2 linked regions of the Coturnix japonica genome follow. The protein of the gene in region 1 purifies or fractionates together with the protein of each later gene. This does not show direct contact. Links are inferred from orthologs where the notes say so. Each region holds a gene or a part of one and is shown in the gene's direction. Other genes may lie near its edges. The genes, in order: LIMK2 and TTC1.

Region 1 (4,436 bases):
GTTGTGAAAGTGATTTAGAATTAAAAAAAAAAAAAAAAAAAAAAAAGGTTTTATATCGACGGGAGTGCGCTGCCGTTTCTTTGTGCTCGGCGGACGGTGATGCACCGGGCCGAGGAGCTGCTGGGCAGGGTGCGGGTCGGGACCGGCGGACTCCGCGCTCCCGCCGCGTGTGGAGAGTGGGGCTGAGGGCGTGGCCGCGCCGCGATTGGCTCCCACCGCGGAAAGGGCGGGCTCGCTCCCTCCGACGGAGCACGGCGATTGGCTCGTATCCGTGAGGGAGGCGGAGCGCCGATTGGCCTGCGGCGAGGAAGGGGGCGGGGCCTCCCCCGGGGCGTGGCGCGGCGCCGAGCGGCTGCTGGCGGGACGGCGGGACGGCGGCGGGAACGCGGCCCAGGTGCGGCGCGGCCGTGACGTCACGGGACAGCGGCCATGGCGGGGCCGGCAGGTGAGAGACGCGGGGCGGGCGGGGCGCTGCTGGATGTATTGGGTGTACCGGGTGTGCTGGGCGCTGCGCATCGCTCGGGGCCTGCGGCGGAACGCGCCGCTTCCTGCCCTGACTGCCGGGCGGAGCTGCGGGGTCGGGCCCCGAGATACCGGCTGCGGCGCTGCGGGATTCTGGGCCCTCCGCGTCCTTGAGCCGCTCCGTGCGCCGGTCTCTGCCCGCTGCTCGCAGTCACTGAGCGCTGCCCTGTCCCGCTGAGCGCGGAGCCCCGTGGCTGTGCCTGATCCCCGCAGGCAGCAGCACGCTCTGAACTTAAAGCATCGCACTTACAGGCTGTGGGTGAGGGCAGCATCGTGCTCACGGACAGGCGTCCCTCGTAGCGCTGAGCTCTCCATCCTCTGCAGCTTCCCCCCCCGGCAGCAGGCAGCTGCTGTAGCGCAGTGATGGCAGGGCAGTGAGGGCAGCTCCCTTCGGTGGGAGCAGTTATTTGGTCCATGTAAGAGCTACCTGACATTTCAGGGTGAAGCTGCAGAGAAAAGCCTCAGACAGAAGGGGCAATTACTGAGCAACTGCTGGGTTTTAACGCTCTTTAGAAACTGTAAGTCTGTGGTTAGTGGTTTTCCTTCTCTAAGCGCGTTTCTTTCCTTACACATCTCTCTTGCAGCCAGCTTGCAGTAGCAGAAGGAAGCAGATCAGTGCCCAGCAGCACGACATGTCCTTTGTGCCATCCTGCGCTCATCCACATCCTCGGCTTTCTCTTAGATGTGCCCAAACAGCAGCTTGGCTCTCAGATAGCATTTCTCTGTGCCAAATTAGTGCTAGATTCTTTGTACTGTTTTTTTCTTTCCCAGTCTTTATGCATCCTGCCCGTTTCTGGGGCTTTAGGACTTCTTGACCATTGCTGGCATTTTCTGAAGGCACAGCAGGCAGTGGCAGCTGCTCCTCTTGCTAAGCCTGGCTGCAGTGCAGTGCTGGTCATACAGACTCTGCAGGAATATCCTTCTGAGTGTGTAATTCCTTCCTGGTGGCCAAGTTGTTCTCTGCTGAATAAGGTTTGTCTTTCTTCCTGTTCTGGGAAATCCATTTAATCACCCAAAAGTGCACAAATGTTATGTGCTGAGTCAGTGGCAGGAGGGGAATGGTAACGTGGCTTCCTGGCACAGCGTGGCTCCCTGTAGGGATTGTCACACTTGGCCCATCTCCACCTGAAATCTCTGCTCTGAGCAGTGGTGCAGCTCTAACGGTGCCATCTCCTGTGAAAGGTAACCTTGTTTTCTCCTGCAGAATGTGAAGGAGCACATGATGGTGTCAGGTCTGGAGGGAAAAAAACAGGGGTTTAGGATATTAGAGTCCAATTTGGGAACTCTAAACATTGGCGCTTATGGTCTGCCTGGTGTAATTCAGGGCTGTTCTTTATCAGGCATGGAGCAATCCTTGTTTTCTTTGATGTAAAACGGTTGTTGATGTGGCCTTATTCCTGTATACAGGTGAAGAAGTCTGGAGATGCCTGGGATGTGGGGACCTCATTGCTGCTGGTCAGCGCCTCTACAGGACAGTTAATGAAGCTTGGCACGTTTCCTGTTTCCAGTAGGTGCAACTTTACAGCCAATTGTACTCTTGGAGGATGGTGGATGCAGTACTGACAGTAACAGGGGCTGGTCTTGAGGCCATACCCTGCTGTCAGCTCTATGTCTGACCTGCTCTGCAGCCCGTGGCAGAGGCAGTGTGCTGCCGGTCATTGCCGTGCTTCAATACCCACAGCAGCCCTTTGGAACTGACCTTCAGTTCTGGCAGCAGTCTGGTGCTGCCTGGCCAGGAGCTGACACACACACGTATGGGAATACAGATAAAGTATAAATGGAGGCTCTGATTTGCTGGTGGTAGCAGAAGCCGCAGGTTGTGTCTTTGTCTGCACTAGCATTCAGAGGTACAACCCAGGCCACCTGAGCTCCTGTCGCTGTTTCCATATATATTGCAGGAGCAATATCAGGGTGTTGGGAAAGCTGCTGATCTGGCAGAGGGGGCTCTTGCCTTTTTCACAAATACTCATTCTAGTTTTCGTGCTCCAGAATTGCATTTCTGAAAGGAGCAGGAGCTTCTGCTGGCTTCTGGGTACGAGTGACTATGTCATGAATGTGCAGAGGTTAATGTGTTGGACCCTGTTAAAGCAAATAGAGGGTAAAAGAAGGCAAAGTGCGGCTTTGGAGGAATGTTTGCTGTGCTGAGACAGGCATCTGTCCCATTGTGTTTAATTTATTACTACAAAAAGACTTTGTTGAATTATTATGCTTCTTGGTGTATATATATATATATATATATATATATATATATATATATATATATATATATATATATGTAAAGCAAAGCATAGCAGGCTGCCAAAGCAATGTTAGCTCTATTGATTTGGAAAGCGTTGTTTGTTAGAATGCCTTGTTAATCACAGCTACTGCTCCATGTTGCTGCAAATCCGACTCTTTCTGCTTTCTGTTGGTCCGAGTGTTCATGTTCAGCTGTGTTGTGTCAGTTTCTCTAAGCCCTGTTTTTCTCTTCTCTCTTCCAAGCTGGAGTCCTGCTGTGGAGCTTCTCAACATTCTCCCAGTTAGCCAAACTCTAATTTGTGTGTGCAAGTCTTTCTTCTATGCCTCCTCTTGTACTATTTCTGATGCGAGTCCTGATTTGTAAATGCCTGGGTGCTTCTTGTAGAGGTGAATGACAGCTGAGCTGCAGGCAAACCACCCTTAGTGGCACCAGAGAATTTTATGCTGTAGTTTATATTGTAGAACAGAAGTCTTTTGTTTTTTTCTTCCTTTAGGTTTTCCTATTTACCTGCAATAGAAAGGCAGGTAATGGCTTTTCTCCTCAGATGTACAGTAACTTGCTGATGCTCTTCTCTTATGCTCATTACTTTTGGCTAGCTCTGCTGCCCAGCTTCGAGGCCGTGCTGAGTGAACAATTGGAACCTGCAGCAAAGGAAGCTGCCCTTCCCTTTTTCCCCGTTCCAGGCTAGCATTGCTCATGCAAACAGAGTTTGCGCTCTGCTCTCCTTTCTTTTCTGTTATCCCCAAACCATGCTGGGCAGCAGTCTTGTGCTCGATATCCCAAAGCCAAGTTTTAAAAAGCCTCTAATGGTAGGAGCCTTTGGCAGCCTGTAGCTGTGAGTTCCGGCAGCTCTTGTGGAGTGTTTTTTACAGTCTTCCTGTGGATTAGCTGCGTCTCTGGCCTGGCACATGATTTCTCTAATGCTGATTGGCATTGATCCAGTCTTGTTAGCTCTGTTAAGCTTGTTAGCTTGGTCAGGCGAGGCTGCTGATCATGCTTGGCACTGGTGGTAGCTGACGTACGTGCATGTCTCTGAGGATTTAAGTTTTTTGTCACTTCCCTCCTTCCTCAAGCTGCATGTACAGGAGCTTTGACCCTGAAACCCATGTTTTCTCTGATGTGACTTGGAGGGAAAAGCAAATCCCTATTCATATATCTTGGATATTTTACACTGTTCTTTGGCTAGCTGATCCTTAGGCTTGAATCTGTTGGGTTAGAGCTGGCTGTGGAGTCTTCTTTTAGATGTTTCTGACATAATCTCTGTTGTGAATTAACTCTGAATGTGCTTTTTTTTGCCTCTGAGATCTGTTGAGTTAGGATCCATTTCAATGGTCTTTTTTTTTTTTTAACTGATAAGTGGCTTCCCTGGATTTGGAGCATATATTGCACAGACTTAGCAAAGGAAATACAGAGGTGGCATGCTGCCTTTTTCCTAGATTTGGATCGCTTTTACCAGAGGGAATTATTGGAAGAAGAATGTGTTTGTCTCTTACTACCTATACCATGCTGTTCTTTTAGCTTTCAGTCCATTTTGTCCATATTACAAAACAGAAGGTGCTGCCTTATATGCTGTTTTGATGTCCGTTGTTTTGTTGATTCTCCCTCCCCACAGATAAAGACAGCATTAAAACAATTCCCTCTTTTTATAGGGATGTTGCACATTTACACACCTGAG
Region 2 (3,811 bases), on another chromosome or scaffold:
TGGGGGAAGGGAAAGGTTGGGCTTAACTACTGATCTTAATTTAGGGATGAAAGGAGAATGGGGGAGGAAGAAACAGTGCTTTCCTGCAATGATGGGTTTATGCACTGCAAACAGCGGGAACAATGCTTTGGGCTTGAGTTCCTGGAAAAGGCAAGGCTTTCTTCTGCTTTATTAACATTTTAATTAACGTGGCTGCACCAAGAGGCAGTGCTGTATGTAGACTTCAGTGGCAGAAAAGAATGGTGAGCTGTAATCATGTTGCTTAATGTATAGTCACAGCTTGGGTGAGCTTAGAGCCTTAGCTTCTCCCAGAGAACTGGCGTAACTACAAGTAAGAATTGCCAAGGCAGTTAGTCCGTGTATATGCTCTAGTATGAACGGAAAAGAGCCATCACACTAACTGCCACTAGAAAAGGCCTTTCAGTGTTTCCTGAAACAGGCAAACTCGTCTGCCTGCTCCTGAGCCAGCTGCAGTGCTCGGATAACTTGTAAACTGTTTACAACTGGCTGTAGGAATGCCAGAATATGCCAGGATTCTTCCACCACCAGACAAAGACACTTCTCACCCAAAAAAAAAGTGAAGCTAAGCAATGACTGATTGTTTGTCTGAAAGCACAATAGAAACTATTCATCCCCATCCTAGAGACACTATGAATATCTTTGTCGTTTTATACCCAGAGTGCTTTTAGGATGAAGTGTAAAATTATGAACTCGACTTAGTACTTTATTTACACTGAACAGTGTGGCTTAAAAAAATAAATCTGTAGAAGGAAGCTAACCCTAAGTGAGCCACCCAATGGAGTAACCTTGACCAGATCACTCAATTACCTCGTCTGTTCATCCAAACAGGAAAATAATATTAATAAAAACAAAAAGCAAAATCCCATCCAACTAACGAGCTGCTTTTGTAGACAAGGGTTGCCTTTTTTCACACAGAAGACCTCAGAATTTCCATTTTGACTCTCAGAGGCCACTAAACATAATTGCACAGATATCTGAAAGATACCCAGTTGTGAACCTGCACTTTGATGCAAGATCTTTACTTACACTGGCTAATATTTAGAAGTACTGTAGTAACGATAACTGTTAGTTTCCCTACGCAGGATTGAGCTGTTCCTCAGACTGAAATGCTGGCGTTTTTTTACTATCATTTCTTTTTGTATTTTCTATGAATGTTTTCTAAAAGGTTCCCTGCTCTAATTTGGTTTTGCAAACGTGATTGGAATTAGTCTATTTTGAATTACTGGGGCAGCATTTAACCCGGCTTCAACAGTTGCCAGATAGTCTGCCCCTTGTCTCTTATATCTATTGAATAAGTTCAGACTTTGATACTGTTTCTGTTTTGAGTACAGTCACAGGGTTGCAGCATGGTGCAAGGCAGATGACTTGATCTGTTTGTACTCTGTGTACCATAAATACCATTCATGTCTTTTTGCAAAGGACTTGCATGGAACTTCACTCCTTACCTTGATGTATTTTGTCACTGCTGTGAAGTTACTACTTCAGTCTGGCTTAGCAAGAAAGCTCTAACTCAGTCCAGATTGTTTGCTGCAGTGCAGCGATAAAACTTAGCTAATAGCAGTAATAATTACTGCACTTCTGAGGAGAACTTGTCCTGGGTGCCACCTTAAGCAAAAGAACCTAGCAGAAGCATAGGAATGGAATGGTAACGGTTCTTATGACTTTGCTGTTGTATCCTAATACTTACTGTAGAAATAGAAGCAAAGGTAGAGATGACATCTAGAATAACATGTGCACTGCTTGTGTCTAAGATTGCTTTAAGAAAGTGCACACATGTGGGTTAGGAACAGCCAGGAGGAACGTAACATTTTTCTTGGAGAAGCAGCCATCCCTTCTGCCTTGTCATGCCAAGAGATCAGCTGCTTGTCTTCAGCCTGCACTGAAGGTGTTACTTTTGCCTCTTGTTTAATTTTATGCATTTTACCTATTCTATGATCTCTGTTTAGATATGATTTTTTTTGAAGGATGTCCTTTTGTTGTCCTTCTCCTTTTATAGGTGGTAGGAACTATTGTTTAGTAGAGTCAGACAGCTTGTGTGGTGTATATATTAATAGTAGCCTTTGGATTTTAACTGTTGTACCTTATGTATATTTAATCATGCTCGTTAAATAACGGTTGCTTAGAATTCCTAGCAGGGATGAGTTAGCTGCAGAGAACTGTAGTTTTGAACATGGGTTCCTGATGCCAGGATGTCATCTGTCATGCTGAGAATGGTAACAAAGTTATATGCTTCAAATGGAACTGCTTAGTTAGAAGGTGCAGGTACATTGATGGATTTGTTTTAATGTTTGTTGTATCAATATACGTAATCTAGAAAGAGATCTGTAATAATTACGAGTGAGCCAGGTTTGAACTTTGGCTTTCTCTGTTTCTGTTGGCAGACTAGGAAGGTGGGCAGTTCTAATATCACTGAATGTTCACAGAACTGTAACTGCACCAAAGTGGCAGGAACTGAAAAATTTATGTTAAAAAACAGAGTGTTGGCAGGTATCAAATTATATCCAAGGCTAATTTTTTTGTGTGCTGCTAAGGTCCTGTAAGGAGCAATTATGACAGAGGAAATAAAGAACTACAAGGTAGCCAGAGACAGATGGTGTCTGCAGCCACTGTGTCAGGGCTGCCTGACAGACCTGGCAGAATCTGAACTGATCTGCTTTCAGCTCCAGAGCTGACATTGACTACAGCACAACTGGAACTTTTTTTGTTCATACAGGAGCCTAAATATCCAACTGACTGGAGAGATTTCTGCAGCATTTACCTTGAATTAGTAGATAAATTAGTGGAGCTGGAGTGTGTAGTTGGGCATCATTCAGTGGGAGTTTTCCCTCTGCTTACTACTCACGTATTTCTTTTTCATTGTAGGCAAACTGAAAGATCTTGGGAATTTGGTTCTCCGCCCCTTTGGCCTGTCAACAGAAAATTTCCAGATAAAACAGGATTCATCAACTGGCTCATATTCCATCAATTTTGTTCAAAATCCAAATAACAATAGATAACGTGAATATTCAGCTTAGTTCTGCTGGCTTTCAGGCATCGTGACCATGTGCTTGCACGCTCCAATACAAGGATTCATCAGACATTCTTCACTCTATCCAAGTGAAGATAGACTCAAGCAAATTCATTTCCCTGCTTATAAATTATTTACAATGTGGATGTAAAGAAAGTCGGTTGACTTCTTTTAGTGATAACTATGTCCTGTGTGTGATTCTTCACTTGCAGTATTTGGCTTGTCCACCAGTCAGGTACATTATTTTGGCCCATTCAATACTGGCAAGAAAATTCTAGCAAGCAGTTCAGTTGAATGAAAATGCCCGTGCACCTGTGGCCAAGAAAAAAGCCAAATGGTGTCTTGGGGAAATTAACAAATCTAGCAGAAGCACATCTCCTCGTTCAGGAGGTGGATGTGACTGGCAGCATGCATAGAAGCAAGCCGACCTCCTCTGTGGAATATATTTTCTTGGTAATAAAGGCTTAGTATTTCTGTTGGGTTGAATGTGAAGTTTTTGCCTTGTCTGAATCCTTTCCATGGTGGCAGTGTTGTTTGAAATTCTTATATCTACCCACAAATAACATACATACATGACAGTAATTTGATGCACTTGAGGTGGTTTTTTTTTCTTGCTTATCTCAACATCAGTAAATTATCCTCAGGATACTCTTTGTTTACTTTTATTTTTTTAATAGATATTTATTTTCTTTTGAAGGAGATACAGAAGCCGTGTAATGTTACATATACACCTTGGAAAGGTCACATAAAGTTCGGGAAATCTGCTTCTCTAAGACTTACTCA

What was found.
Region 2: the proteins of LIMK2 (region 1) and TTC1 purify together in Homo sapiens (affinity purification with mass spectrometry; 3 studies listed by BioGRID and IntAct, counting the BioPlex papers as one, with this or other methods). This does not show direct contact. The link is inferred for Coturnix japonica from reciprocal best matches to the Homo sapiens genes LIMK2 and TTC1.

The regions. Positions count from the first base shown.
Region 1 is NC_029530.1:8,042,353-8,046,788, reverse strand, and holds the start of LIMK2 (LIM domain kinase 2), read left to right. Parts: upstream 1-1,558; 5' UTR 1,559-1,580; coding exon 1,581-1,704; intron 1,705-1,929; coding exon 1,930-2,029; intron 2,030-4,436. UniProt on the Homo sapiens protein: Serine/threonine-protein kinase that plays an essential role in the regulation of actin filament dynamics. Acts downstream of several Rho family GTPase signal transduction pathways.
Region 2 is NC_029528.1:10,003,836-10,007,646, reverse strand, and holds part of TTC1 (tetratricopeptide repeat protein 1), read left to right. Parts: intron 1-2,883; coding exon 2,884-3,017; 3' UTR 3,018-3,811.